Linked DNA regions of Mus musculus: all the other regions are reported to be linked to region 6. Evidence: microRNA targets listed by miRTarBase, many of them from high-throughput screens and not tested one by one. Region 6 holds a microRNA gene; each other region holds the end of a gene's coding sequence.
What was found. The annotated mature microRNA mmu-miR-298-5p reads GGCAGAGGAGGGCUGUUCUUCCC and lies in region 6 at 1,357-1,379, opposite strand. An mRNA with a match to its seed (bases 2 to 7 or 8) in the 3' UTR can be bound and repressed. Matches are read on the target gene's strand: a 7mer-m8 pairs with bases 2 to 8, a 7mer-A1 pairs with bases 2 to 7 and ends in A, and an 8mer does both.

Region 1: miRTarBase lists Tfb2m as a target of mmu-miR-298-5p. Seed matches in the 3' UTR shown: 7mer-A1 at 1,064-1,070.
Region 2: miRTarBase lists Piwil1 as a target of mmu-miR-298-5p. Seed matches in the 3' UTR shown: 7mer-A1 at 3,530-3,536.
Region 3: miRTarBase lists Plin3 as a target of mmu-miR-298-5p. Seed matches in the 3' UTR shown: 7mer-m8 at 1,794-1,800.
Region 4: miRTarBase lists C5ar2 as a target of mmu-miR-298-5p. Seed matches in the 3' UTR shown: 7mer-m8 at 3,086-3,092.
Region 5: miRTarBase lists Gls as a target of mmu-miR-298-5p. Seed matches in the 3' UTR shown: 7mer-m8 at 1,912-1,918.
Region 7: miRTarBase lists Knop1 as a target of mmu-miR-298-5p. Seed matches in the 3' UTR shown: 7mer-m8 at 262-268 and 7mer-m8 at 256-262.

The regions. Positions count from the first base shown.
Region 1 is chr1:179,525,574-179,529,709 of GRCm38, reverse strand. It overlaps Tfb2m (transcription factor B2, mitochondrial), which reads left to right. Exons shown (of 8, transcript NM_008249.5): 8 at 356-1,656. The coding sequence ends at 533. Among named protein-coding and RNA genes, the nearest start is that of Smyd3, 9.6 kb to the right of the region's middle.
Region 2 is chr5:128,754,009-128,758,212 of GRCm38, reverse strand. Piwil1 (piwi-like RNA-mediated gene silencing 1) reads right to left here. Exons shown (of 22, transcript NM_021311.3): 21 at 4,125-4,204; 22 at 2,739-4,020. The coding sequence ends at 3,904. Rimbp2 (RIMS binding protein 2) reads left to right here. Exons shown (of 21, transcript NM_001378900.1): 21 at 1-422. Among named protein-coding and RNA genes, the nearest start is that of Gm42875, 14 kb to the left of the region's middle.
Region 3 is chr17:56,276,589-56,280,965 of GRCm38, reverse strand. It overlaps Plin3 (perilipin 3), which reads left to right. Exons shown (of 8, transcript NM_025836.3): 7 at 99-224; 8 at 893-2,004. The coding sequence ends at 1,234. Ticam1 (toll-like receptor adaptor molecule 1) reads left to right here and starts at 4,199. Exons shown (of 2, transcript NM_174989.5): 1 at 4,199-4,272.
Region 4 is chr7:16,233,652-16,238,028 of GRCm38, reverse strand. It overlaps C5ar2 (complement component 5a receptor 2), which reads left to right. Exons shown (of 2, transcript NM_176912.5): 2 at 55-3,442. The coding sequence starts at 71. The coding sequence ends at 1,105. It overlaps LOC115486844 (a small nuclear RNA gene), which reads left to right and starts at 3,165; the gene lies at 3,165-3,291.
Region 5 is chr1:52,162,959-52,167,335 of GRCm38, forward strand. Gls (glutaminase) reads right to left here. Exons shown (of 18, transcript NM_001081081.2): 18 at 491-3,356. The coding sequence ends at 3,200. Among named protein-coding and RNA genes, the nearest start is that of Stat1, 46 kb to the left of the region's middle.
Region 6 is chr2:174,266,197-174,270,573 of GRCm38, forward strand. Mir298 (microRNA 298) reads right to left here and starts at 1,389; the gene lies at 1,308-1,389. It overlaps Mir296 (microRNA 296), which reads right to left and starts at 929; the gene lies at 851-929.
Region 7 is chr7:118,842,139-118,846,515 of GRCm38, forward strand. Knop1 (lysine rich nucleolar protein 1) reads right to left here. Exons shown (of 5, transcript NM_023197.3): 5 at 79-3,956. The coding sequence ends at 3,645. Among named protein-coding and RNA genes, the nearest start is that of Iqck, 11 kb to the right of the region's middle.

The sequences.
Region 1 (4,136 bases), not on the chromosome of region 6:
AATTATACCTTGTTAGAATTTCAATTGGTGATTTTCATTGCAGGCTAGCTGTGAATTTTTAAGAGTACCTGTCCCGGTCTCCTGGGTGCTGAGGTTATAGCCATAACACACTTATGTACACATTTCCTATCCAGACTGAGTGAGGCATTCATCCCTGTATCCCAGTACTGGGAGATTAAGGTAGGAGGGTCGGTTCAGAGTCGTCTCTGTACAGAGTGGAGAATACACATGTCATATATAAACTGTCAACTGAATTCAGTTATATGTGTTAGCCATTTTACTTGGACATAGGAGGCAGCTTTCTCAGCTGTAGCTGACAGTTGTAAAAGTGTGTCTCTTTGGTTTTCCTCTGCAGTTCACTGAGTACGGTTGATCCTATTAATATCCTGAGGCAGATAAGAAAAAACCCTGGAGACACAGCTGCTAGAATGTATCCTCACGACTTCAAAAAACTTTTTGAAACCATAGAGCAATCGGAAGACTCCGTCTTTAAGTGGATCTATGACTACTGCCCGGAGGACATGGAGTTCTAGGAAGAGTCTGCAAGCCGAGAGTGAGCTGGAGCTGTTTGTCCATTATTTTGAAATCATGTGACAAATGAACACTGAATTTCAAGAAGTTCATATCCTTTTAACAGAAGAGAAACTACCCTTGTTTGGCACAAATGAAGCAAATAATTTCTTCTCAAGTTGATACCTTTGATACACAGAAAACACAGTGGCTGCAGTATTATTCAAAGTTAAATAAAACGAAAACCTGTCAGTTTGATCAGATCAAATCTACTTTGTTTTAAAGTACTCTCTGCCGTAGATCAATGGTAGAACACATACCTAGTATGTCCAAGGTTTTGGTTTTGCTCCCTTGTAGACGCCCGACTCGCCAGCAAGAATGACGCCACAACAGGATTCTTTTGCACACGTTTATTGGGAGAGCTTGATAGCGAAAGCGAAAGACCCCGAGCCCAAAAAACCAGTGCTGCTTATATAGGCCTAGGATAGGTGTGTCTACACCTGATTGGTTATGCTTTCAGTACCTCATTTACATGCCTTGGGCCAGGCAGTGACTCTGCAAAAAAAAAAAAAACTCTACTGCACATGCGCACATTGGTTGTTTACCCATATTCATGGGCGTCAGCTTATTGAAACCAGTACCATCTTGTAATGGCGTTTATTGGCTTCCCATACTCCCTAGCACAGGAAATTTTTAAAAAATTTCTATTTACTGTAAAGGCCCATAGGTATGGAGTATTTTCAATTGTAATTTAATTTACTTTAAAAAAACAAAAAACCTTTGGGCCAAACCTCTTTAAATATGCACTTTTCACCATTGCCAATTGCTTGCATCTCCCTCAGTTTCTATACTGTTACGCTTAGAAAATAAATTGATTTGGGCAGACATGGTGGCATAAGTCCCAGGCCTTGTGAGGTGGAGGGCCCATCAGTTTAATGCCACTTTCAACTGTAGAATTGAGTTTGAGACCAGTTTAGGCTAAGAAAAGACCCTGTCAAGCAAAACAACGGTATAAACTTAGAAAGTGATCAGTTTATCTTTTATTATGTTGAAGTGGATTATCAGGCACTATGCAATCCAGTTGTTTAAATTTTAAATTGTAGTATGTTTTAAAACTTTTTGAGAAATAAAAGAATTTGTATATAGTTTGTGTGTATATGTGTGTTTTCTTTTTTGTTCTCCATATGCATGAGTGAAATTTTAAATTGACCCCAAACTTATTTTCAGTGTGCTCTCAGTGAGTAATTCTGTCTGTGTAACTGAAGTGTCTTGAGGCGCTGAGTGCAGTGACGTGCACCTGCAGTTGCATGGGTGTCTGAGGTGGGAGGGGTGAGCCGTCCAGAGTTGGAGACCAGTGTGGTTGTTGATGGGGTTGGGTGCAAGAGAACAAGATTTCCTCTCAACCATGAGACCTCTTGCAAGGTAGGAAAGTGGTTCCTTAGAGTTTGCTGTACAATCATGAGGACATAAGATGAGTTCCCAACACACATATAAAGCTGGGCAACTGTGGTAGGAGTACTGGAGGAGGACACATGGAGCTCATAGGAGGAGGACTCATGGGGAGGAGCTCACAGGAGGAGGACGCACGGGGAAGACAATCTACCAAGTCATGAGATCTAGGTTCAGTTGGAAAGGCTCTAAAGATCTTGTATCAAAAAATAAGCAATAAAGATTTGTCCACCACACACAAGCTTATGCACATATACCACACATAAAAGTATTTCTGTACATGAACCAATCTATCACAGCTATACATTTGATTTTGAGTGGCTGAATGGATTGAGCATGTATTAAGTACAAGAGCAAGGAGCAGGTAGTAGAGTGTAAAGCATCTTCAAGCCGAGTAGTGGTGGCGCACGCCTTTAATCCCAGCACTTGGGAGGCAGAGGCAGACGGATTTCTGAGTTCAAGGCCAGCCTGGTCTACAGAGTGAGTTCCAGAACAGCCAGGGGCTATACAGAGAAACCCTATCTCAAAAAAACAAAAACAAAAAACAAAAAAAAAGCATCTTCAAACTGAGCATGTGGAACATCCTGATTGGGGAAGCAAGCAAGCTAGCAGGATTAGACCAGGCACTTACAACACCCATAAATGAGGAGGGAAGCCCTGCTGGAGTAGGCAGTCCTGGAGTTTTCATAATTTTCTATAGATTTCCATAGTTTCCATAGATTTCCAGGCACAGGGTTCTTCTGTACATGGACAACTTTCTGACCTCTGGTTCCCATTGCTGCCATTTTTATATCATGATGAACAAGTTACCTCTTTTGGAAATGCTCTGCACTCTAGCTGTTCTCTAGAGCGCAGTGTTTTTAATAACCTTGGATGTTCTCTTTTATATTTGTCAGCCTGACCCAGGGACCCAGCCTGATTCAGGACAGGGACACTTTAACATGAGGCAGGGATGTGCTGGCTCTTCATTCCTGACTACTTCCACTTTTGTATTTTGTTTGTTTGATTTTGAGTCAGATCTCACTATAGTAGTCCTGGCTAGCCTAGAACTGAGATGACCTCAAACTCATGGAGACCCACTTGCCTCATCCTTTCTAATGCTCAGATTAAAGCCCCAAGACCAACCCAGAGTCAGTGACCATTTACCTATATAATATATTTTATCTCTGCCACATTTAATATTTCTACTATTTTTATAATCTGTTTTTTCCATATATTCTTGATCAATTGTTTGATCAACACCAGGCTTGCCTGAGCTTAACTCAGTTACACCTTGTGATAGTAGTAATCTATGAACACCATTACTATTTCCTGGACCACTGAGGTTTCCTGAATCTTAGCACTGGGATCAATCAAGAATTATGTGGTCCTTGAAAGGCATGCTCTAATCCAGTACTTGCAGGGCAAAGACTGGAGGATCTCCTTGAGTTCCTGGCAGGCATGGTCTACACAAGAAGTCTATGTAGCAACCAACAGTTCTTGACAAACAACAATTCTTTTTTTTTTAATTTTTTTTATTACATATTTTCCTCAATTACATTTCCAATGCTATTCCAAAAGCCTCCCACACCCCCACCTCCCCTACCCACCCATTCCCATTTTTTGGCCCTGGCGTTCCCCTGTACTGGGGCATATAAAGTTTGCCTGTCCAGTGGGCCTCTCTTTCCAGTGATGGCCGACTAGGCCATCTTTTGATACGTATGCAGCTAGAGACAAGAGCTCCGGGGTACTGGTTAGTTCATAATGTTGTTCTACCTATAGGGTTGCAGATCCCTTTAGCTCCTTGGGTACTTTCTCTAGCTCCTCCATTGGGGGCCCTGTGATCCATCCAATAGTTGACTGTGAGCAAACAACAATTCTAAACGTCGGGAAATCTGATTCCACCATCTCTTAGTGTTCTATTGTTGTGTAGAGATACCATGACCACAGCAACTCTTCTAAGAGAAAGCATTTAATCGGGTCTGGCTTACAGTTTTAGTTTAGTTCATTTTCAGCATGGTGGCATGCAGGCAGACATGGTGTTGGAGAGGTAGCTGAGAGTTCTACATCTATGACCACAGGCAGCAGACAGAAAGCCACTGGGTCTGGCTTAGGCTTTTGAAACCTTAAAGCCCAGCCCTACTTCCTCCAACATGGCCATACCTCTGAATCCTTCTCAATGCCATTCCCTGATGACA
Region 2 (4,204 bases), not on the chromosome of region 6:
CCACAGCACACATAGCAAAGCCACCACACGCTTCATTAGCCAGACCAGAAGGAGCCTAAATTGAAATCTCTCAGACACCCCACACCCATCTTTATCATTAGCCTCGAACAGCAAACCTCCCCAGACGCTGGCTGATGGGATGGCCACAACTTTGTAATTCCTGTCCACTGTAAACTGTTTTTACTTCTTTATACATACTTTTCAGACTGCCTTTCTTTTGTAATTTCTGGAAGGTTTGTAAATGAATGGCAAAGCTTTCCCTGTGCGTCTTCAGAAACTATATTGTACATTGTAATATAATTGTATGTGGTAGATTGATTAAAAGGTCGTTCCTCGGTGTGTGAAGTACTGTGCGGGTGTGTGCATGTGTACAGCTAGGGTGACATATTTTCTAGAAATAAACTTTGTTATTTTGTACAACATTATGCCTTTTTGTGTCTTTATTCCTAACACTCTTATCATGGCAGGGAAATGGAATTTCTTTCTGTTACACATCCCTAAAGAACTCTGTGGGCTTGGGATTTCTGGGACCAATTAAAATATGTTCTTGAGCCATGTTCTGGGAGTCACTTCTATGACAATCCTGGTGGCAATCTTCATGGGAAAAGAGACAGCAGTAATCAGTATGGGGTCTCTGTGTTACCGGAGACACGCACACACAGCAGAGACCACGAGAATCTATTGAATGTGTGGATTCATACCAAACCTCTTAACAGCACCCCTGGTATCTTTTCCAGGATATTACTAAAGAACCGCACAGACTCAATACAGCTAATGCAGCCTGACTTCCCAGATAGATCTATGGAGGTTTCCCTCTGCAAGCTCAGTTCTACTGGCCATATTTTTCCTGGGATGTGAGGAAATGCAAGGGCAAGGCAGAGAAAGGATGCTCTCTTCAGTGTGTGCTTTCTCTTCAGAAAGCACAAGGGACCAGGGGATAGACACCCCCACAAAGCCATATTCCCACTGAGCCACTTTATCCAGCCAGGCAACAGCTCCTAAGAACCTGTTCAGCTATGAACTCACTCAGATTGATGAAGCTGCCATCCCCCTCCCCCCATCAGGTCACTTCCCAAGAGAGCTCCTCAGATGGCAGCCAAGCCCTGAGTACACCAGCCTTTGGGGGATAGTCTTAGGTTCAACCCTTAACAGTAAAAACTGTTCAAAGAGCTAAGACCAGACCATTTATGGCAAGATGAAAATAACAGTTCAAATCCACCACCTCATGGGCCGACACACACTGATGCAGTTAAAGCCACAGCCACGATGTTATTCATGTAGAACTTACCTATCACATGTAGACATAACTCTCACAAGGGGGAAAGAATCAGTCACGATCACGAGGATAAACGTCTCTCTGTCTTGGTGACTTTTCTCGATGCTCTAAAGGAAGGGTTTATTCTGGCCACAGACTGGGGGTGGCACCCATGGGAGGCAGCTTGGCCACACTGCACTGCACCCAATGGGCAGTAGAGACACAGTGTTGCTCCTCACCTGCCTTAGCTCTCCTGACACCATCACAGACAGGTCCAGGGGTTCCATGGAGGGTCTGAGTCCCTTTGGGTCCACATGGAGGAACCACCATTCTGCTCACTCGAGTCTTGGTGATAACATTGACAATGCCCTCCGCCCAACAAACAAACTACAGCCATAAATCAAAGGTGATAAGGAACAAGATTAACACACATACCCGCTGCCAACCTCCTGCTTGAAAGTAAATATGAATTTCTCACAATCAAGGCTCTTCCTTGCCTAGAAGAAAGGGGCTTCAGCCACACCCTCACTGGGCTGGAGCTCCGAAGAGAAGGGTGGCTTTGGGTCACTGATCTCTTTCCTTTCCAGGGTGGCCATGGTGAGTCATTCTCCCCTTTGTGGTATTCACTGTAACGTGTCTGTTCTTTGGCTTTTGGGGAGATGGGTGACTGAGTTCAGCTTGTCGGGGCTACCAAGGTCTAGTGTCTGTCCCCGACAACTATGGTGACAGAAGGGTGGGATCTTAGGCTTCCACACAGAAACCACTCTGGGATCTGAGTGGTTCCACCATGGATCTGAGGCTGGGTGGCTCTGCTACCCTGGACGTTTGGGTCCCAGGGAAACCACCAGGTTGGTTCTCCTACCCAACTGAAGAAGGGGTATTCGCTCCAGTTAAGGCTGACTACCTTGTACCTCATGTGACTAGTCCAGCTATAGCAAGGCAAGACAGGCTAGACTTTATACACATGGCCAGTTAGCACCTACCCATATCTGAGGACAAACGAGCTGTGCCTGTCCCTCCATACATTCCTAGTATAGCCCAGAGCTCAGGGCTTGTGTCATGGCCAGTGGCCAAGGGATGCCCAGCAGCTGACACTGGGTAGAGACATCAGAGAGAGAAAGAAGAAACCCCTTCTAGAACAACCTGAGCAAGCACAGTTACAGGCATGAAGTTTCTGGAAATGGTGGTCAGAGGTATGCTGTAGCTCCAAGGAGATTCCAGCCTCCTTGCTGATCCTTGGAGAATAAAGCTGTGGCTGACCCTTTAGGCACCCAAGTCTGAGTTTGAAACCCTAAAACTGTACTTCCTTTCTCAGGGCCTGAGAGGCTATGATGCCTGTTGCCCTCTGGTGTCAGACATGGGATGGGTTAAAGGCTGCATGCCATGAGCCCCCAGAGCTGGCTTTTAGAACAAGGAAACAAACGTGCTTTTCATTTACAAAACACATTGATAAGGCCAGATCCCACAGAGACGCCCACAAGAGTAAAGTGAGACAGAAACTTTATTGAGCTGTGCCAGGGGCACACACACACATCGCCATTGTGTAAAACTCATCACACTCTAGCCACTCTAAGCTGCTCTCTTTGTCAAAGAGCCAGGCAAATAGATGTGGCCGTACCTCACCTGGCACCTGAACTGGCCCCCCAGCCGCAGCCTTGCAGCCTCTTAGGAACAGAGGCAGCTCTTACTCCCAAAGTCTCCTGCAGAAACTGGCACCCATAACTCATACTGCTCCATTTTTCTTTCTTTTTTTTTCTTTCTTTTTTTTTTCTTTCTTTTTCTTTTTTTCTGTTTGTTAAGACAAAGTCTCACTATGTAGCCTAGGCTGACCGGGAACTTGGGGTTCCCCTGGCTTCACCTCCTGAGTCCTGAGATCACAGGCGTGTGCCACCACACCCAACACATTACTTTTGGGAGTGGAATCCTATCCCAGAGTGGTCGCCTGTAGTTTAAAAGCAAAGAAAACACAGGCTTTCAAAAACTAAAAACTATTAAATAAAATTATGGTCAGTAATTTCACTTGGTAAGAAAATTGCGAAACAAAACAACAACACTCACTCCACCACCGGCCTTGTCAGTCTTAAAAAACACTTTCATGGAGGGAGAAAAGTAACTCTTTTCATTCCTTATGACCTAACTCTTAAAAGAATTACAGAAAGGTACCTCTGGCCTTTTTATCTTTAAGAACCTGAGGTGTCAGAGTCCCATATAGCACCCATCTAGGATGCTCTGGGCATTCTTGCCTTGTGTCCTTTCCTCTTTTAAATTCAAACATGCAGAGAGAGAGAGAGAGAGAGAGAGAGAGAGAGAGAGAGAGAGAGAGAGCAGCGTACAATAGGAGGTGCTCCCAGGAGCACCTCCAAGAACCTGCCAACACGGCTGCTTTAGGAAAGTCTATCTGTGGTACCACGGCCCTTGCCACCACTCTGCCAAGCAAACTGTCACAACACACCATGAGAAACAAAGCAAACATAAGCCTTAGTTAACTCTATAGCCGCTACACACCAACAACTAAAAACAAAACAAAACAAAACAGCGGCCCCCAACCCCTACCCCCAACATCCCGCTAGAACCTCATCCTATGAAAAATAGAACTGAAGGATTGGCAGAGCTCTGAAGGAAACCAGCATGCCGGCCCTCGCTGCTGGTTAGAGGTAGTAGAGGCGGTTGGACAGGGAGAGGTTTGGCTCTCTGTGGATGCTCTGGCCCACGAGGAAGGCCAGCTTGTGTGCATACTGGCAAGGTGCAGGGACTCGGATGACTCCCTGTGGGGAAAGAGGGCCAGTCACTGGGCTGAGTTGGGCGGGACTCCCAGGGTCCCTACCACAGCATGCTAACCAGGGTAGGTGGTCCATAGCAGGACACTCACAGGCCAATTATAGTACACGTGGCAGAGCTTGTATGTCAGCCGCTGGATGTGGTCGGGCTTCAGGCCACTGCTGTCATAGA
Region 3 (4,377 bases), not on the chromosome of region 6:
TGAAAATGAAGAGCCCCCCATCCCTGCATTGTCCCGGCTGGAACCCAGTGTCTGGGATATGTTCTCCCTCTAATAGGGCCCCTTTCTCTGTGCTGTAGATGGAATCCGTGAAACAGGGTGTGGACCAGAGGCTGGGGGAGGGGCAGGAGAAGCTGCACCAGATGTGGCTCAGCTGGAACCAGAAGACCCCACAGGATGCTGAAAAGGACCCAGCTAAGCCAGAGGTACCTGCTGGGGCCCCCGGGATCCCCATATGAGTGTCCATGCCCTGTTCAGCATAACTCATGCTTCCTGTCCCCAGGGCAACCACAGAAACCATGACAGAATTCTATTTTGTTTTGGCTTTGGTTTTTAATTTTTGCATTTTTATTAGTATTACTGGGGTAAGGTGGTGGTTTTGGCTTGGCTTTTTTTTTTTTTTTTTTTTTTTGGTTTTTCGAGACAGGGTTTCTCTGTATATCCCTGGCTGTCCTAGAACTCACTTTGTAGACCAGGCTGGCCTCGAACTCAGAAATCCGCCTGCCTCTGCCTCGCGAGTTGGCTTGGCTTTAAGATAACAGCTGTGAGCCCGGTACCATATCTGGCCTCATAGTGCCCATATTGTGGTTTGATTTGGGGTTTATAATTTTTTGATTTTGGTGGGGGGTTTGTTTTTAACTTTTGCTGTTTGGCTTTTGATTTCCCTGCCCAGCCCCAGTGGCTTTCATCTCTGATAAGTCTAGATTCCAGGCATCTTCCAGTGTCTCTCTGTAAACCTTAACTATTCTGAAAAGGTTATGGGAGTCTGTCTTCTAGTTTCAAACTCAGGGAGCCAAATTCCTGTCCTCCAAGCAGGGCTCTGCACCCTACTGGCCCTCAATACCCTGACCCCACCCCAATCTCCCCCTTCCAGCAGGTGGAGGCCCGGGCACTCAGCATGTTCAGGGACATCACCCAGCAGCTGCAGAGCATGTGTGTGGCCCTGGGGGCCAGCATCCAGGGCTTGCCCAGCCACGTCAGGGAGCAGGCACAGCAGGCCCGCAGCCAGGTGAACGACCTTCAGGCCACCTTCTCCGGCATTCACTCCTTCCAGGACCTCTCAGCCGGCGTTCTTGCCCAAACTCGGGAGCGCATAGCCAGAGCCCGGGAGGCCCTAGACAACACTGTGGAGTACGTGGCCCAGAACACTCCAGCCATGTGGCTGGTGGGCCCCTTCGCTCCTGGAATCACAGAGAAAACCCCTGAAGGGAAGTAGGGAGAAGGTTCAGGGCCAACATCTATCTGGCTTGACTGCTTTTCCCAACAGTCCAATTGCACAACAGGTCCTCCCCTACTGAGTCTGAATGAGACATGTGTTTAACCTATTCCCATCAGTCTTTTAAAGCAATTTTTTTTCTAGAATGTTCCAGGGGTAAAAAGATCCAGAACATTCTAGAAAAAAAAAATGTTTTTTTCCTAAAAAAAAAAAAAAAAAAAAAATGAGGAATGAGGGTAATGAATAGTGATAGCACTAGTCTGTCATCCTGTGTCAGCACTGTGGTATAGAGGCAAGAGGGTCACAGGTTCAAAGCCCGGCTGCCACATCACAAATTCAGTGATAGTCTAAGCTACATTAGACCTTGTCTTGAAGTAAAAAAAGGCATAATGATTTTTCACTCCGGGTTTCTTTTCTACATCATGGCCCACAATAGCAAGAGCTTTTCTTGTTTGTTTTTTTTTTTTTTTTCCTGAGACAGGGTTTCTCTGTATAGCCCCTGGCTGTCCTGGAACTCACTTTGTAGACCAGGCTGGCCTTGAACTCAGAAATCCACCTGCCTCTGCCTCCTGAGTGCTGGGATTAAAGGCCGGCTAGCAAGAGCTTTTCTAACAGACCCTGATACCTGGCCCAAGAACCCAGCAACTGTGACAGGATAGACAGCTGGGATGTTGCAATTGTTTCAGATGAGAAAGTGAGGGCCGAGTACACTGTTCCTCAAATCCTGGGGCTCAGTATTGCCTTAATAAATTTTATATGCATCAGAGGCCAAGTGGATGGTGTATATGTGTGTTGCCTTCCTAGGAGCTGAGCTGCCCTGACATCCCTAGAGACCTTCTTCCTTCTGTCTCTACTCTATGCACAGTGCGAGTCTTCCCACTTTGAATGTTGGACGTGATCACTTGTGACCCTGTGGGGACAGCAGGAAGGGCCTGCTGCCTATTTTCCCTCCGTCTCTGTGATGTATGGAGAAGGGTCAGTGTGACAAGCTGAGCCTGCCAAATATGCCCACAGTCTGTTCCCCTTGATCTCAGGGAAGGTGGGGACAAGAAGATCTGGAGTTCAGGGTCATCCTTGACTACCTAGTAAGTTTGAAACTAACCTGGGCTACTTTGAGACTATGTTTCAAAACAGCAAAACTCGGGGCAGGAGAGCTGCCTGCTGTGGTAAAGTGCTTGGAGTTGTTTGGTTTGCGGTAGAAACTGAGAAAACTTACTTCAGAGACAGAAGCTTAAAAAATAAAAGCTTTATTTTCTGCACTGGCAGGGAGGTGGCCAGTTGGGGATCTGAACCCTGATGAGAGACTGCACGACGCTTTTTATAGGATGGGAACACAAAGCGAAGGGGACCTGGGTACTGACCAATCATATCTTGACACAAAGGGTTAAACAAGGACTTAACACTGGTGACTAGGTCTTATCTGGGTCACCTGGTTTCAGGGTCCTTGAGTCAGCTTTTACAGCCTAGTCCCCTCCTGGACTCTGACCTGGAATCTAGTGTGGTGAAGGACCAAAGGAGTGGGTGAGCCGCAGTAGTCAGTTAAATCAAGGCAGGGACACACTAACGACTTGTGTGCTTTAGTTTGGATAACTGGAGAACAGCATCTTCCTTCCTTACAGCCTTCACTGGCTAACAGACAAACATGAAAGATCTAAGAAGCAGGATAGGAGTTGTATTCTGGGGCCTGGGAACATGAACTCAGTCTTGACCCTGCCAGCAAGATAGAACTTGTTTCTGAGATGGCTGGACTCAGGAAACTGTCTCCTAAAGATGTGACCAAGAGCAAACACTTGATGTCAACCTCCAACTTACACAAATACGTGTGCATATGTAAGCATGAAAATGTGGAGAAGTCCGTCTGCTACCTGCTTTGGGGAGATGAGTGTCCAGAGTCTGGGAGAGATTGAGTTCAGTGGCATGAGGCAGATACTCCTGCCTAGACTCCCCAGCAAGAGGGTGGGGTGGTTCTCCTTTGTGCACCTCATCTTCCAGTCATAGTCCTCTGGGAACTGCTGCTTTTCTGTTTTCACAATTTAGTTTTATCAGTTTTAAAACATGCCATAGGGCTGGAGAGATGGCTCAGTGGCTAAGAGCACTGGCTACTCTTCCAGAGGTCCCCGAGTTCAACCCCTAGCAACCACATCCATCAGATGTGGCTCACAACCGACTGTAATGAGATCTGATGCCCTCTTCTGGTGTATCTGAAGAGAGCCAGAGTGTACTCATACGTAAAATAAATAAATAAAGCTTTAAAGTATGCCTGTAATCTCACCATCTAGCTGAGCTAGGAGGATAGCCCCAAGTCCCAGTATGCATACACAGACCGTTTCTCAAAAGTAAATACCCAGAAATCTCCGACAAATCTTTGTGTTGTGTCTCTGTGACGGCTCAGCAAGTAATGGTACTTGCGGTTCTTTGACCTACATTCATACATGCCTGCATGCACATACATACACACAACACCAAGTAAAATCAAGTAAAGAATTAAAAATATTTACAACCTAACAGTTGTATAAAACCTTGTGGCCTCCAGCACTTCTGTTTACTTATCTTGTATGAACTTATTTTTGAGATGGAGGTCTCACTCTGTGGGTCAGGCTTCCTTGGAACTCTGGGCAATCTCTCTGCTTTAGTTTTCTGTGTGATGCTGGACTGACAAGTGTGAGTCATCAGGTTCCCAGTGCACTTAGCCACATGGTGCTTTGCGAATCCCCAGAGTATGTCACTAGCTGAGCTCTTTGGCTAACAGCTTAAAGTTCTCTGTGGGCGGAGGGTTCCTTCTTCCTTTCCCCAGCTCTGGCCTCACAAAGTACAAGTCCTGCCTAGTTCCACGTGGCGCCAGGACACTGGGCGGGAGGGCAGGGCTTGGCTCAGCTAGATAAGATTACACGCTGACTTCATCCCCCCCCTACCCCCCCCCCCAGACCCGGAAGGGAGGAAGGGGCGGAACCGAACGCTCCCTCCTCCCTTCTCTCTCCTCCTCCTCCAGCAGCCACCAGGGACCGGGAGATCTACCAGCTCAAGACCCCTACAGCCAGGTAGGATGAAGGCAGAGGGAACAGGACGGCGGGCCGGCGGGCATAGGGTCGGGAATAGATGCTGGGCCGGCCACCTGCAGGCTGCCAGGTTCCTCAAGTTCTTTC
Region 4 (4,377 bases), not on the chromosome of region 6:
CCGGGGACAGCAAAGCTGGAGTTTTCCGTTGACTTTCCCTCCTGTCCCCTGCAGGTGTCTGGGGGCCAGAATGATGAACCACACCACCAGCGAGTATTATGACTATGAGTATGACCATGAACACTACAGTGACCTTCCGGACGTGCCCGTAGACTGCCCAGCTGGCACCTGCTTCACTAGTGATGTCTACCTGATAGTCCTGCTTGTGCTGTATGCAGCCGTCTTCCTGGTGGGTGTGCCAGGCAACACCCTGGTGGCGTGGGTGACCTGGAAAGAGTCCCGCCACAGGCTTGGGGCCTCTTGGTTCCTGCACCTGACCATGGCCGACTTGCTTTGTTGTGTGTCTCTGCCCTTCCTGGCTGTGCCCATCGCCCAAAAGGGCCACTGGCCATACGGGGCGGCAGGCTGCTGGCTGTTGTCCTCCATCACCATTCTGTCTATGTATGCCAGTGTGCTGCTCCTGACCGGCCTCAGCGGAGACCTCTTCCTACTGGCTTTCAGGCCCTCCTGGAAGGGTGCAGATCATCGAACATTTGGGGTGCGTGTGGTCCAGGCCTCCTCCTGGATGCTGGGCCTCTTGCTGACTGTGCCTTCTGCTGTCTACCGTAGGCTGCTTCAGGAGCACTATCCTCCCCGACTTGTGTGTGGCATAGACTATGGGGGATCGGTCAGCGCCGAGGTTGCCATCACCACTGTTCGATTCCTCTTTGGCTTCCTGGGGCCATTGGTGTTCATGGCCGGTTGTCACGGCATCCTCCAACGGCAGATGGCCCGCCGCCATTGGCCCCTGGGCACAGCTGTCGTGGTGGGGTTTTTCATTTGCTGGACCCCTTATCACGTCCTGCGGGTAATCATTGCAGCGGCTCCTCCGCACTCCTTGCTCCTCGCCCGGGTCCTGGAGGCGGAGCCTCTGTTTAATGGCCTGGCCCTGGCTCACAGTGCTCTCAATCCCATAATGTTTTTGTATTTCGGAAGAAAACAACTCTGCAAGTCACTCCAGGCTGCATGCCACTGGGCCCTGAGGGATCCACAGGATGAGGAAAGTGCGGTGACCAAGGTATCCATATCCACCAGCCACGAAATGGTGTCTGAGATGCCGGTGTAGGCAAGAGGGCTTTGGATTTCCTAGGCCATCGCACAACTGTGCAGCTTCAAGCATAGCTGGATGCAGGAGCTCGGAGATGGCTTTTGTTCTTCATTCAATATTCATTGTGCACTTGCTCGTTCAAAACCCTGATATAAAGGTCCCGGGCTGACAGTGGCTGGAGCCAATTCCTTCCCCAGGAGTTAGCAGTTTACACAAGAAGACGTATAGGAAACACTTGACGGGATATGGACTATGTCAAGGTTGAGATGTTCCATAGAACCCAAAGAGGGTGCTGGGGAGACTGCTCGAGTGCCTGCTGTACAAACCAGGACCTGAGTTTGAGCCCCACCACCTTCACAGAGCTGTGTATGGTGATTCACCTCTAACCCCAGCACTGAGGGAATAGGTGGATCCAAGGGGTTCTCTGGACAAGTGGTCTAGCCCAATCAACAAACCCCTGTCTCAAGAAATAGAGTGGAGCCAGGCACGGTGGTGATAACTTTAATTACAGCATTTGGGAGGTAGAGCCAGGCTAGCCTGATCTACATAGTGAGATCAGGCTAGCCTGATCTACGTAGTGAGGTCCAGATGGAGATTTGGGAGGTCGAGCCAGGCTAGCCTGATCTACATAGTGAGATCCAGGTGGAGAGTAGCAGATGAAGACATCCAGTCTTAACCTTAGGGACACACACACACACACACACACACACACACACACACACACACTACACAGGGTTGGACAGCCTAGGTCAGGTAGGCTAGCACCCTGAACAACGGGTAATGACTGAGCCAAAACCTGACTAATGGACCTGAGCATCCATGCTTAAATCTGGGGAACTATTCCAAGCAGACAGAGCAAACACAAAGGCCTTGCTCTGGGGTATCTCTTCCAAGAAGCCTTCCCTGACTTGCATCCCTCCCAGAAACAAGGGTTCTTCCTATCTTGCAATCTCTTCAACACAAATGCCCAGATAAATCCTAAGTCCCCTAAGAGTGAGAGAGGAACTCACTCTATCTTTTATATTTTGGTATTACATTTAATTATTTATTGCCTGTGTCGGAAAGCATGGAGGGAGTAGGGGTGGGGTGGGACGATGGTTAGAGGACAACTCTTTCCATCATATGGGTCCTTGGGATCGAACTCAGGGTGTCAGGCTTGGTTGTAAGCACCTTTACTGGCGGAGCCATCTCACCAGCCCCAAACTCCTCCGTCTTGTCTCTTTCTCCCCTCCTCTGTCTTAGAAAGTACTGCATTTCCTCTGTCCACACTCTGATTGTTTTCAACTGCTCAGTGGGCCTGTTTGTGTTGCTGGTGTCTTTTTTGTTATTTTCGAGGATCTTTAAACTATTTTATTTTATTTTTTTTTAAAAATCATACAGGTATATGCTGTACATTGAGTAGATCCCCACCTTACTCCAGGTTTGCAGAACTTTAACGCCTATGGCATACTGTGTCCAGCCAACTCTCCCCCACAGATCCCTAGGGCCTGGCTTTGGTCTTGGTTTTCTTTTTTGATTTTTTTTTTTTTTTTTTTTTTTGAGATAGGGTCTCATAGAGCCCAGGATGGTTTTGAACTCACTATGAAGGGGGTGACCTTCATCATCCCCTGAATGCTGGGATTATAGTCTGTATCACCACACGTTAGTTTATGGGGTGCTGGTGATCAACCTCAGGGCTTCATGCATGCTAGGCACATGCTCTATCAATTGAGCGACATCTGGATTTCCTCACAGGGGGACTCTAGGAAGCTGTCCTGTTACTGAGCTCCACCCCAAACCCTCCTTGAACAATGTATACATCTGTCTGTCTGAAAAGTTCAAAAAAGTTTTGGTTAATTTACTGGACCAGAGAGCCTCTTCAGAAGGTCTTTTAAATTTTTTCTTTCTTTCTTTTTTTTTTTTTTTTGGTTTTTTGAGACAGGGTTTCTCTGTGTAGCCCTGGCTGTCCTGGAACTCACTTTGTAGACCAGGCTGGCCTCGAACTCAGAAATCCACCTGCCTCTGCCTCCCGAGCGTTGGGATTAAAGGCGTGCGCCACCATTGCCTGGCAAAAATTTCTTTTTGAAAGTACACTTTGGTGTTGTATGAAAGGAGAGGTTAGCACTCCCCCTTGACAAGGATGGAAGAGGCCTTGGGCCTAACAACACACATACGGTTAAGGCATTGCCTATTACCTATTTCGTGGCATCTAACAAAATAAAAGAAAAAACAAAAACAACAAAAAAAAAAAGAAGAAAAGGAAAGTACACTTTGAGAGTTTCTATTTAATTCTTTAGTCTTAAAACAATGAAGGAGAAATTTCATGAGATCTTCCAAATGTATTTTCTGTGTAACTATACATAAAATCTCTTGATGTTAAAAAATACTGTGTTTTGTTGTTTATTCTAAGCTTTCTCTGGTTCAGACGGCTGTGCAATAATTTTTCCAAACTGAAACAAGTTACACTGCTTAAGAATCAGGATGTAAACAACTCACAAGTCTCAGGATATTCCTGAAACTGACCACATACACCAGGTCCCTTCTTCCCCAAGTGCTGTAGTTTTCTTTATGCTGCTGTAATAAAGCACTCGGACCAAATCAGTTTAAAGGAGCAAGGAGTTTATTTAGCTTACACTGCTACATCATAATTCCTAATTGAGGGGAGTCAGGACAGGAACTTGAATACAGAAACCATGGAGAAGCACTGTCTGCATGCTAGCTCTTTGCTCATGCTCAGGTCGCTTCCTTACAGACCCCAGGGTCACCTGCCTAAGTATGGTGACACCTACAGTGGGTTCATCCACTCACATCAGTCAAGACATTCTCTCACAGACATAGCCACAGGCCAACCTGATGAAGGCAAGTCTTCAGTGAGGTTCCCTTTACACAGGCAACCCCAGGTTGTGTCAAGCTGGCAGTAAAACTTAACTAAGACACCAAGCTCATTCAAACAGTGTCTTGGAGTTTTATTGCTGTGAAGGAACACCATGACCACAGCAACTCCTAGAAAGGAAAACATTTTATTGGACTTTAGTGACACCCTTACTTTGGACTGTCAATCAGTTCCCTATATGGCAGGAGTAAATGTTTGTTCATGTCTCTCCAGAAATAGCCATACAAGAGAGACTTATTGGGCTGGAGAGATGGCTCAGTGGTTAAGAGCACTAACTGCTCTTCCAGAGGTCCTGAGTTCAATTCCCAGCAACCATGTGGTGGCTCACAACCATCTATAATGGGATCCAATGCACTCTTCTGGTGTGACTGAAGAGAGTGACCGTGCTCTTAGCCATTGAACCATCTTTCCAGACATC
Region 5 (4,377 bases), not on the chromosome of region 6:
GGAATATAACTTCTATAAGATGAAGATGGGGTTGGTATGGCGTGCACATAACTGCTGTGGAGTTAAAAGCTAACTTTACACCCAAGAGGAAATGTTTCGCCAAGAACAGGGCTTTTGGGTATTGATTGAAAGCATGTGAAGAATTCGGGGGGAGCTCCAGCCAGTGCAACTCAGATCCCAGTGTGATCGGATTGGACCAGCTCTCGAGGTAGATTTCAGTGCTCTGTGGAAACATGTCTTCATTCAAGGATACTTTCCATGGCATGGTGTAAGAGCATGGTCTGAGCTTCTAGAGGACTGAGCTAGCCTGTCCACTTCTAACCTTCACAGCTAGGTCTTCAGTTCTCATCTTGGTCTTGTGGTCCAAACTTCCCACCCAATTCTATGTGCCTGCCTCACAGCAGGCTGGATGTAAACCAGCTACAGACTTCCAACCCAACAGCCCAGAGAAAACCTTAGTTATTAAAAAAGAAAACACTTTTTCTCATAGTTTGTTTTCAATACACATATTTATTATGCTGTAAAAAGCAACACTACCTGATCTCATTTAAAATAAGTATTTCCCAATTCCAGAATACTTGCAATTTATAGTTTTCATTTTGGGAAATGTTGGAAGTAAATACATTCATAGTTGTGGACTCCCCAGCAGGGATCTACATCAAACATCAGGTTATCAAGTCCCTGACGGACAGCTGGATCAACAGTATACCCAGCTCTACAGCTAAAGCACGTGTAGGCAGCACTGGGGTATAGCATATCACCAGACAGGGGTGTCAGAACCAAGACAGCAGAAACAGTGGCATAAAAAGATCTTCAAAGCAACATGATCATGTAATGGTTCCAGGATACAGAAAAATTAGCTAAGATTGTAAAGCCAAAACAAACAGATCTTTGGAGTTTACAGATGGTAGCAGTTAGCGGCTCATTCACACACACACAGGGTCCTTGTTATTATCAGCCAGTAGCGAACAGCCAGAGCAAGACCTGGCACAGGAAAGAGCATACTCAACCAAGCCACAGAGACTGTACAAAACAGCACTGAGCTGAGAGAAGATGAAAACACCTGTCTCAAAGAATATACAGAACCATGACTGGAGGGGATCCTCAGTCACTGGCAATATTTAAGTTACTGAATCACAAAAAGCCAGCCGCTATTGAAATAGCATTATCTCAGTTGATTCCAAAAAAACCATGTTCACCCATTAATTTTGGAGGTTGTCCCTGCGTAGGATGTTCCCAGTGCCACCTATGCACCTGTCTTGAGGGGGTGTGGAAGAAGCAACATAGCAACAGGGCTGGCTGCCCACCCACCATCCTCCCCACAGACTCTGGAACTTAGAAACACACTCATGGTGCCTGTCCTAGTGAAGGAACATTAGCCACAGTTTCATCAAGGGTGGAGCTGGCTAGGGAATGGAGGGGGTGGCTGAAGCTGACTTTGACTGAAACAGGATCAAAGCAGCTGGAGGTTACCGGGTGAATAATGTGCCACCAGGCATAAAGCAGGGATGCAAGCAGTGCAGGTAGTGAGGGTCACAGAAGACGCTGTATTACTGTCATAACTGCTAGTATCTGTGCACTTGAGAATTTTGCTTATTTCATAAAGCAGTTTCTTCATAAAGCAGTTTCCAAGAAGTCCGTGTGTGTGTGTGTGTGTGTGTGTGTGTGTGTGTGTGTGTGTGTATGCCAAGTGTGCATGCACTTGTGTGCAAAAGTCCTCACTAACATACCCTTTATCTCTTGGAGGTATAATAGGGTAGGTCCAGTATGTGGGACTCCTAGATAATTATGTTTTTTGTAAGGTCGCTTTTACCTATTATCTAAGTTAATCATAAATTACCTTTCCAAAGCAAAGAAATGGTGGGTCTGCCAGGCGTGGTAGTTTGCACCTTTAATCCCAGCACTCGGGAGGCAGAGGCAGGCGGATTTCTGAGTTCAAGGCCAGCCTGGTCTACAAAGTGAGTTCCAGGACAGCCAGGGCTACACAGAGAAACCCTGTCTCGAAAAAACCAAAAACAACAACCCAACCCAACCAAACCAAACCAAACAAAACAAAACAACAAAAAAGAAACGGTGGGTCTAAGTTGAAAATGAAGTGATCTTATTGAATGATACAGCCCACCAACAGTTAGGCAGTAGAGGAAGAGAAGATACTCAGGGCCTCCCACAAAGGGGTGCTATCTTGATGCAGACATTTGACAGCAGGATTCAAAGTAAGTGTTATTTGTAGCTTTTCCTAAATATATCGTTATAACTTTGGTAACTGAAAGCATTTCTGAACTTTTCTTTATTGTAGAAGCTGAAAAGAACTTATAAGTGTGCAGTTTCGCTGTCTTTACTCTTAAGACTGACGATTATTTTAGATGTCATAATTTTGGCTCATCTTCCTTAGATAAATGGCCAAGCTCTATCTCTGATGGTAGAGATGTGAGGCTTGATGGCTTGCTGAGGAAACATGAAAACTGCACAGTGAGCCAGTGCTCTCTTTCCCAGCTGAGGGGGACCGACAGCCACGCAGCACAGAGAGGCTGGCCCAAGCGTTGTATGGAAAGGAAAAATTTAAAAGTGCTAGAACTATATTCACACATACGTTTTGGTCACCAAACATATCTTAACAGATTCCCTGATAAAATCTAATCAGAATCGGCCTGTTCTATGAACAGTTAGTATCTATTTTAATATTTAAAGAGTCACACTCTGAAGTGAGGGTGATAGACATTTTAAACACTCAACCATACAAGTGTAGTGGTCTCTCAAACACTCAAAACTAAATCTGTATTTAAAGTCTTAAAGATCACACTATTTTCACCTAATAACAGCATCGACCCCGTGGACAGACTGTACAACAAAGCTCACTCCTAAGTGCATATGAGCGTATCATCACCAGGGCTTGAAAATGTACAGAACGCAAACCATGAAGACCACACAGTTCAGCTGGCATTGGTAACTACTCTTTTACACCACATTGTACAATGCACGAGGTAACTATTGCTCACATTATGAAGGGAGGCTGCTTCATTTCTATTTTTTTCCCAAAGAACTCAGATTTGTCGTGTGCGCACAATGAAGGAAGCTCCGGTAACACTGCAGTGACAGATGTTGTAAATACACATTACTACCAGATAGAAATATACAATGCTCTCCATAGTCATGTTCCACAATGACTAGGTAAGTAATGGAAGTCTTGGGGTGCAGACCATTATAGCAACCCGTCGAGATTCTTGTGGACAGTCTGGTTTCCCTTTCCATCATCAGAATCCCCTTGAGGTGTGTACTGAACTTGGTATTCCTGAAGGATTTTAAAAACATCATGGTGTCCAAAGTGTAGTGCTTCATCCATGGGGGTATTATTCCACCTGCAGCACAGCAGACAGGGTCGTTAGTCAAGGAACTGCTGCTCGGAGACAGTGCTCCGGCACCCCCAGGTTTTCCATCCAAGCTCCACGGCTGTTGACGTTCATCTATACTTTAGCAGTATTACAAGTGAGACTCCCCCACCCCCCAAAACACACAAAAAAGTTCTTAGAGTTCAGACACTGGTGTGAGAGAGACATCTTGATAATGAGGATAATGGAATGCGTTCTATGAAAAATTCTGTTTCCTCATCCAAATGCTAAAAGAGGGGCCTTTGGAAGCCAAGTCTACTGTTGACCGGTATTTACAAACCAGGTAGTGTAACATCATCCTAACCTGTCACAGGAAGCTTATGTCCCTGCGCATTCAAAAGTTACAGCAAGCCAGAAGTCTTCCAGGTTTCCAATAACTTCATGGCATTAAATGCATGTTAGATGAACAAGCTGCGCCCAGAGGAAGTGACCCTTTCATCACAGCAAGTAAGGGAAGGAAGCCGTGGGCGTACCCGGCCCACTGCCCGATCAGAACTCCTAGTCTGCACTGGTGTGCTCCAGCAGTGAGCAGCTGAGGTCTGTGGAAAGGCGCGGGCGGCATTGTAAAAGCCCCAGAAAAGGCCAGGCTTGCTGCTCAGCCGCTGGGTCCTCACAGCCCGTGGAGCCTGTCCACTCAGCAGCCCCTGCTGGCTCCTCTCCTCTCCATTGGCTCCTGGCCCCAGTTCCCATCCCACCGCCCTGCTTTTGCTTCTTTCCATCATCCTGCGTCTGCCCAGAACCTTTCACCTAATTAATAGGTCACAATGCGAAGCCAAACAGAAAGTGCTTAATTTCACATCTGAAAGGTTCCTGGTAGCCTGCTCTTCATTTTAAAAATCAGGTAAGTCAGAAACTTTACACATCTCTGTTTCTCAAGAGGCGGCTACTGATTTTCCCTGCCGTGTGTGTGTGGCTTTTCATTAGGGAGCCTAACATGATCAAGTATTTGTGTCAGCTTCTGGGGAAACTGCCAGGTCATCTTTACATTTCT
Region 6 (4,377 bases):
CCTCCCTCCCTCCCTCCCGCCCTCCCTCTATTCAGAGTTTACTGTACTCTAAATGAAAGGTGCTCCAGCCCTCTTGCAGTTGAGTTAAATCTAATTAATGGGAAGAGACACTAAGAAGCAAGATCAAGCCAGGTGTGTGCTAGAAGCAAGCTGGTGAAGTGGGATGAGTGATGGGCACACCAGGCAGAGCTGGGTAGAGCGCAGAGCACAGATGAGAACAACACCAAACAATCTTTCTTCGTGAATTTATTAGGCAGATACTGTGTCACACTTGGGAGAGGCTGGGTGTGAGTAACTCAAAACTGGGTGCCTGACACCCTCCCCCCCCAGCTCAGTCTTACAGGGGTGGTTCACCAAAATGCCTTCTAGACTGGACACAGCAGTTTATGCCAGAAATGCTGGAGTCTAAGGCATAAGGATTCCAAGTTTTAAGGCCAGTATGGATAATTCAGTGAGATCTTGTCTCAAAAATAAATAAATAAATAAATAAAAAAGGGGGGCTGCCATGAAGACCGGTGTGGATCTGACTGATGTCCATCCCACTCCTGTAGGAAAGAAAAGATAAGTGAAAGGAAAGCAAACAACCACATCAAGGAAGGTCTGGTGCTAGGAAGCAAGTTTCCCAGCCAAGGATACAGAAGAGTAGGGAGATACTACACAAGGTGGTACAAGCCCAGGGAAGCAGGGCACTATTAGCCTAGAGCAGACAGGGTGGGGTCAGGTCTCTGGTACCCCATGAGCACTAACTGGGGGGCAGGACTAGTCTAGCAGAGGCTGCCACTGGGATCAAGCCAAAGACAGCAAGCATTCTCTAGAGCCCCAAGGGACTACTTACCATGCGACGCTCTGCGGACACCTTCAGGAGAGCCTCCACCCAACCCTCTGAAGCGAGCACAACAGGATTGAGGGGGGGCCCTCCAGAAAGGCCCTCTTGTCACCTTCCACATAGGCTGTTCTGTGTGCACACAGATGGAGATCCCCTCTTAGGGGCCCTGCCTCTGTCTCCCCAACCCCAAGACCCTAGGAGGGTCTCTTTCTGTAGTCTCGAATGCCCACTAACCTGGATCTTGGCCCGCTCACCCGCTTCCCAGCTACGTGCGCTCAGAAGCCACTGCATCGACAATGGGAAGGTGGCAGTCTTAGTAGTAGGCTCAGGGCATTATGACAAGACCTCAAAGTTCTCCATGGCTTTTAGAAACATCTATCTCTGACTCCACCAGCTACCTTGATGGGTGGGGGAACTTAGAGGATGAGTTCCGTGTGTCAACCAGCAACATTCTCCTGGAGATCGGAAGGAAGCTGTTGGCCCACTCCTAAGCTGAGAGAAGGCTAGTTCCTCCCAGTCATAAAACTCAAGGGAAGAACAGCCCTCCTCTGCCAAAGGCCTGGGCCTCTTATGCCTCTTGGTGTCTCTTTCAAGCACGGCAGGAACGTCCCAGCCTACCTCAAATAGCTGTGGTGCTCAGGAAGCAGTCAATTGGGCAGGAGCTAGTTAGTGGGGGTCCAGAGACACTCATCTCATGGCCAGATCTGTCTATGACCACTCCATCCAATGGACTCACTCACTTGCATGTAGTAGCACAAAGAGGGCCATGGTGTGGCAAGTATCCTGTACAGTAAACCCTCTTGTTCTATCAAGGTGCCATTATGAACCAATCAAACCATTTCTAAGCAGCCCTGTAGATTCCCACGCTCCAAGAAGGATCCACCTTGCTGGGCCTCTGCTCCAGCAAGACCCACCTCCCAACTCAAATGCCCCACCCCATGGGTGCTGACTGGGTCTCTGTGAGGTGAAAAATCAATCCATACCTGAGGAGGAAGAACCCCCAAGTTCTCCTACTTAGCAAACCTTTTCCTCAGGACTGAATGTTGTGCTCACAGCAGAAGCAGCTGAAGAAGTGCAGGCTCCAATCCTTGAGGCTCCCCATCACACAAGGCTTCAAAGGCAGGACTGTGCTGAGAGCTCAGAGGTGCTTAGAACAGAGAGATGGGGTAGGGAATGTTAAGACATAAACAAAACAGACACACAGCCGCTAAGGTCATAGTTTTAAGCTCTTCAACTTAATGGTTCTGTCCTAGTAGCCAAACAGCCATCAGAAGACATATTTATGGGCAATCTTTTGGCTACTGTCTGACCATGTGAGACACAAGAGCCATGTTTTTGAAAACACAGGTCCTTTTCTAATGAATGCAGGTCGTTAACGAAATAGGCTTGGAAGTCATCTTCTAAGGCCTTTGTCCATGACCCTAGACAAATCATCTTCCCAGAGTTCACTTGTACGGGGCCCTCAGCCAGGGCAAGCACTGAGGACAAGAAATCAAGTCTAGAGACTTCAGAAAAGGCTTCCTTTCTCTTTTCTGAAACTCTTTGGTTGAGCAGAGAAGAGAGACGGAGCAGAGCCATCATGCTCCCACGGGTGCAGTAGAGCAACAGTGGGAGGCAGAAGCAAACAGAAGAACAGTGAGGCCCATCACAGAAAGACACATCTGATGGACACCCACCCACCCTTGATCCCAACCATCAACATGGACAACCAACCCAGGCACCCATAGGTAACAAGGCTGGGACAGCTGGGGATGGTGTCAGGCCCAAGAGCTGCTCAGCACAGAAGGGTCACAGGAATCCTGCGCTAAGTGGCTCTCAGAAAAGGGGTGCATCACCACCAAGCTGTGAGGGGCTGAGGTACTTTGTACTCCCTCTGAAGTCCTCCCCCCAGAGGAAGAGCACAGTTTTAGTGTGAGCCCTTTGCGGAGTCCTCTCCCCTCTGTGCAGTTGTTCCCAATACATCTGACTTGGCGGCTAGAGATGTGGCTCCAAGTGTTGGCCATATAAGCCCCTTTCCCATCACTCAGAAAACAGAGAAATGCCAGGAGGTACACGTAGCTCTCCAGGCTGCCAAGAAGGTGAGCTGGTGACTTTAGAGGTGCTGCGAGAGAAGCTACTGTAAGCGGGCCCCATCATCTTCAAGGACACTCTAGAGTTGTTCCTTCAAAACTGTGTAGCACTCAGTCCAGCTCTCAGCTGCAAGGAGAGAGGATGCTCTGTATCTTCACTTGGGGTGGATGTCTGTCTTATCTGTCCAGCAGACTACAAAGACCCATCCCTAGCTACAGGCTGAGTTGCAAAAGAGCTGAAGATCCCACAAGTACGAGGGAGGGTGCCTCTTGCTTACACTGTCAGAGGCCCCAGAGAAAGCCTCTCTGACTTGACCGTTTCGGTGAACATTGCCCCAAATCCTCATTCGAGGGTAGCTCAGACCTCCATCAGCCCCAGTCACCCCTCAGCTTCTGCTCACATGAAGAACCACTTGACTCCTGAGTGTACCAGAGCCCCTGCAAGGGCAGCTAGGAGCCACGAGCCACTCCTCCAAGTAGACACCTCACATGTGGCCCTCAGTGCTTGTTAAGTGTGCTCCTATGTGCCTTCCTATAGCTCCCAGCCAGCTCATCCCAAACCTATGCCCTCAGCCCCAGCGGCTATCTCCCTCACAGCTCTGCTGCACCGAGGTCTCTGATGGCCTAAACTCAGCTCAGCCTAAGTATCATCTTGGACCCCCTTCAAAAGGCTTTTCAGTGCCCGCCAGGGTTGGAAAATAGGCTCTGGACACCAGCTACCCCCTCAGTCAGAAGCGGGCTTGACTCCTACTCCTCAGCGAGGTGGCCCTCGGCAAGTTGGGAGCTCGGCTGCAGCTAGGCTTCTCTCTAGTTGCCATGAAGTTGAAGTGAATTAAATGAACACGTAGTCCCCCAAGGCCTAGGCCTCTGCGCTGCAGACTCTACAAACAGGTCAATAAGAATGAGGCCTTCTGAATTACTAAGGCTGAGCTTGGAGCAATAAGCAACTCACACAGCGACATAGTGACACAGTGCCATCCTGAAGCCCACAGGACTTAGGCCTTGGGAGATAGGGATCAACCAAGTCTCACTGTTTCCAAGAAAAATACCTTTTCCCAAGAAGCAAGACTGAGCCGGGGAGAAGGAAATGGAGGGAACCCAGGAGACATAGGGTAGAGATGAACACAGGAGCCTCCTTCCCTGTCTGCTCATATGCTGAGAGAGGCAAGCTGCAGATACCAGGACCTTCTTGGTGACTTCTATCCTCTCTATGCCAGGCTAGGCCCTACTCAGTTGGGGTGAAGGGAGGCCCAGGGACAGACAGCTTAGATGTTTTGTTGCCATGGCAATTGCCTAACTCTGTGGTACAAGCCACAGGTTACTAAGGGGCCACAAGGAGGGAACCAGGCAACTGTGCTGGATTATCAAGCCTATCCCAAGCCCCAATGGAAGTTCATTGTTTATCCCCTGGTCTTCTCTTTTGCAGACCCAGCTTATGTTCATGAACAAGTCTCAGCCTCCTAGACCAATGTCATAGCAAAG
Region 7 (4,377 bases), not on the chromosome of region 6:
AGTTGCAGCTACTTGGGAGGTGGAAGCAGGGTTGCTCAAAACTAGTCAGGGCAAAACACACACATTCAAAAGACTATATTTGTGCTTTAGGCATGGATTTTATTTATCTGAAATACTATACATGACTAACCTCAGAAAGTAGAAGTTATTAAGTCTCACACACACATACACACACAGCTTGTGTCTTTACTAGTTTAAGAGCAGAGTTACAGCCAGGTGGTGGCGGTGCACGCCTTTAATCCCAGCACTTGGGAGGCAGAGGCAGAGGCAGGTGGATTTCTGAGTTCAAGGTCAGGTTGGTCTACAGAGTGAGTTCCAGGACAGTCAGGGCTACACAGAGAAACCCTGTCTCGAAAAAACAAACAAAACAAAACAACAACAACAAAGAGCAGGGTTACTGTTGTATATACATTTGGGGCCAATCTGATGAGAATACCCTCCAGCCCAAGGAATTGATACAATTTCTTAAAACAAAAACCAAACCAAAAATGAGCAGATGAGGCGAAGGATATGGCTCAGTCAGTGGAATGCTTGCCTGGCAGACACAAGACCCCACATAAGACAGAGTGCCAAGGTGCAGACCTAGAACGGCAGTAGTTAGGAGGTAGAGACAGGAGGATCAAGATCTGATCAAGGTCCCCAGTTACATGTTTGAAGCTGGTCTGGGATATATGAGCCCCAGTCTCAAAAACAAAAACCAGATGCTAAAAAATGCCTTTCCTCCTGCTGTGAACATGCCAGAACCCAGAATGCACTATGGTGCTGTTCAAATACTCCCAAATGGCCTTTATTTCACCAAACTGTTTCTACTAAAATTATTTTATGTCACTTTCACTGTGATGCTAATTCTTTCAAAAATAACTGGCAAATTCATAAATAATCCTTTGTACGTTACTCTCCTGCCTCAAGGCTGCCCAGGATAACAGCATAAGCAGCTTACACTGGCCTGGGGAATTCCCACTGCTTGTGTTAACCTCGGCTTATCCTCACACTGGGTACACATACCACGGGGCTCCTGCAACAGTCTGCTGACCTGGGCAGAAGTGTTACTGACAGTCCAGTCTTTGAAGCCCGCCTCCACAAACAGCATCTACTTCCCCTGAGAAGGACATGTAAAGAGACTTTTAGGAAATGAAAAACAGGATGCCTCATGTCCATCTGTGAGTGATTCCTGGTTCTTATTCCTTTAAGAAATTACAAGCACAGTGACTTCCTGTGGTTTTACTGTCTTGACTGCTGTTGGTCAGAACTCACTGGTTTCTCTGGGCTAGGTCAAGGTATCCCCATGTCTAAGTTCTTTTGTGGGTACTCTGGTGGAAAGAGATGCTGCATGGCTTCTGTACGTTGCCTGTGATCTTGGCTTGTGGCCTTTTCCTTCCCAAGTGTCTTCCACACTAAATCTTCTGCTACGTATCAGTTAGGGAACTGTGAAGAAAAGAACCTGCTCAGGTTATCAAGGATCTGATTTCAAATCTATCTGATAGCCAGTGGTGGCTGGAAGCCAGGCAGCAGTGATGTATACCTTTAATCCTAGCACTCCAGGAGGCAGACAGGTGAATCGCTGTGACTTTTAAGGCTAGCATGGTATGGTCTTCAGGGCTACACAAAGAAACCCTGTCTCAAAAAAACAACAACAACAATAATAATAGCAGCATGTGATTAGTGACTTTAATTTCCCTTCTGCTGGGTATGTGTGTGTCCTGCCTACCATAACCCAAGTAGTACTAAGAGCAGGGACACCTGTGTCTGAGAGAGCCTTTTCACAGGTTAGTCTGGTTGTACATGTAGCCTCAGGGCAGGGCCTCATGGGCCCAAGCAGATATAGCACAGAAATCAGCTCAAGCACAAGTGTTAAGAATCATGAGATTTTGGTGACTGTTGGACAAGGATATTGCTTAAGTGCCACCAAGCTGGTAAGAAATGCCTGAGAGAATCAGTCAAGTTCAAGGTTGTGTTAGATCACTGACCCTACCTCCAGTGCCTTGGAGATAGACTACAGACTTCAATTCTTAGAGAAAGGTGGGCTAGTGGAGCACCTAAGTCAACGCTGAGGTACCAAGCTACAAAATCAAGTCTTTCAGCACTGAGGTATGTGTAACAGCTAAGAAAAAGATCTGGCTCTCACACTTTGATGACAGCTTCCAAGGCATATGTGACATAAGATAGAAAACCATCTACCACCCGTAAGATTGCCATGTGCAAGTTTTTGATGAGCTGAGACACTTAGGCTGGAATGTGACTTGTGGGGAACACAAGCTATTGGAGTTATGCAGATGGTTCCCAGAGTTCACCAAGGCCGAGGGAGATTTGTCTGGAAGTTGACTCAAATGCAGAATTCTGCCATTGACGTGACTGGAAGTGGTCTTTTCTGAATCTTGAGGCTGAATTGATGAGAAGCCAAGTTCATTCCAGGAAAGTGGTGTAAACAGGTCTTTGCCATACATATGGCCTATGCCCACAGGACAGGAACAAGGTAGGGGGCACAGCAACACCTCTGCTGCCCATTTGGCAGTACTGCACACCTCACCCTCTCCCTGGCTGGCCTGAGGGGCATCTCCTTACCAAGGGGGCTGATACAGGAAAAACTACAAAGCTGAATGACGCCATCACAGGTTCCCTGAGGGACTGCCGGAAGTTTCTTTAGTTGTAGAGAGGGTTTTCTCCCATCTCTGGAATGCTGGGAATTGTCTCTCATCTTCTTAGCAGCATGAAGGCATCAACACTGATGACGGTGCTGGAAGGATGAATGAATGTCCTGGCTGAGTGCAGCATCAAACACCTCCATCCCCACCCAGTGTTTCTGCCTGTGAGAAATCAGGCCAAAACAGGAAAGTAACCTTCTCTGAACCTTGATACCAGACTGCCAATAGCTGGTGGGAGAGAAAATCATGTCACATGGGTCTCTGTATCAGGAGCTCCATGAAGATTGCTGTGATTTGGGAGGGAGGGGTGGGAGGGTATGGTGCCTGCAGCAAAGTATCTTTTTCTCCACCCCTTATATGTTTGATTTCATCACACAAGTGTCCAAGGTCTTCTGTCTAGTGAACACAAACACAAAACATGCTGCTGAGAATCTGTCATGGGTCCATACGCAGGATTACCTACTGTCCAAAATGCCTTGAGATCCAGCCAATACAGCAGCATCAAATCCAAGCACAGCAGTCAGATGGAAGGAGGACGGCTGGAAAGAAGCCAGCTCAGAGGTACTGGCCACGTCTGCCTGCTGCACCACACCTGCCTCCTGATAAGGGAGAAGGAAAACAAACTTGCAAGTCATGGCATATCACTTGCTTTCTGCACTGATAATTGAGTGACTCTGGGTGATGTACTCTTGATGGCACTTAACGGAAGGTGACCCTAGGCCGTTTAATTACTTTATTTATCCCTGAACTTGATAGAGATGAGAACAGCACCCATTCCATAATTAGTGTAACAATGCAAGGAAAATAGTCAGGACCCTCCACGTGCCAACAACTGCTAGCTACTATTAAAATACTGTCACCCGGAGGTGGAATGTTTAACATAGAAAATAGGAGGCTTTAGCAATTCCTATTGGTCCTCAATAACTGCAGGTGACTATTTCAAGCCAACTTGACGGATGCAACTGATCAAGAAATGCAGTTTGAAGAACAAGACAATAATATTTAATCTTGCAACTTGATAGACTTGGAGGCATTCCGGTCAATGTAGAAGACCTTTCGGGCCTCAGAGTTAAAGCCCAGGCCAGCCCCGTGGCTGTACTTCCAGCTCATGGCCCGGTCATAGTCCTGCTGCAGACTCTGCTGGAGCATTTCTGAAGACTTTTTGTCCAGGGCCATGTTGGACCTGATAGTCATGCTGGGAGGGCGGCTGAATGACGGGGACAGATGCTTAAAGCCACCCATAAGCTTCAGGAATTTTAGCTTCTGTTCTTCATTTTCAAAGCCGGCAGTATCCCACTGGCCAAACTGGGTTCCCTGTGTGGAAAGTAAAAGGCTGTCATTGCCCTTGAAGACCAAAGCTTCCCTCACTCTCAGCCACGCAATGAACTGTCTCATTCAATATGGCTACTCATTCCCACATTACAGGTGAGGAAATGAGGCCTAGAGCTTAATGGGGGTGATAATATTCAGATGATTCCCAACTCGGGAATGACCAGCCTGAGAGCCCATCATTGGCTTCTAACAAATATCACTGCACACCAAGCTAATCTGTGCTCTACCTTCTCCCAACACATGGTGATAGCAAGAACACTTCAAGATCTCTATTGATTTTTCTGCTGCATGTGCTTGGCTGGCCACGAGCTTCCAGCGATCCTCCTATATAGCCTGTGTTGTATACTGATCCTCTGACTTTAAGCAGTTCATTCTGAGAGGGGAGCTTATTAAGACCGAGGAA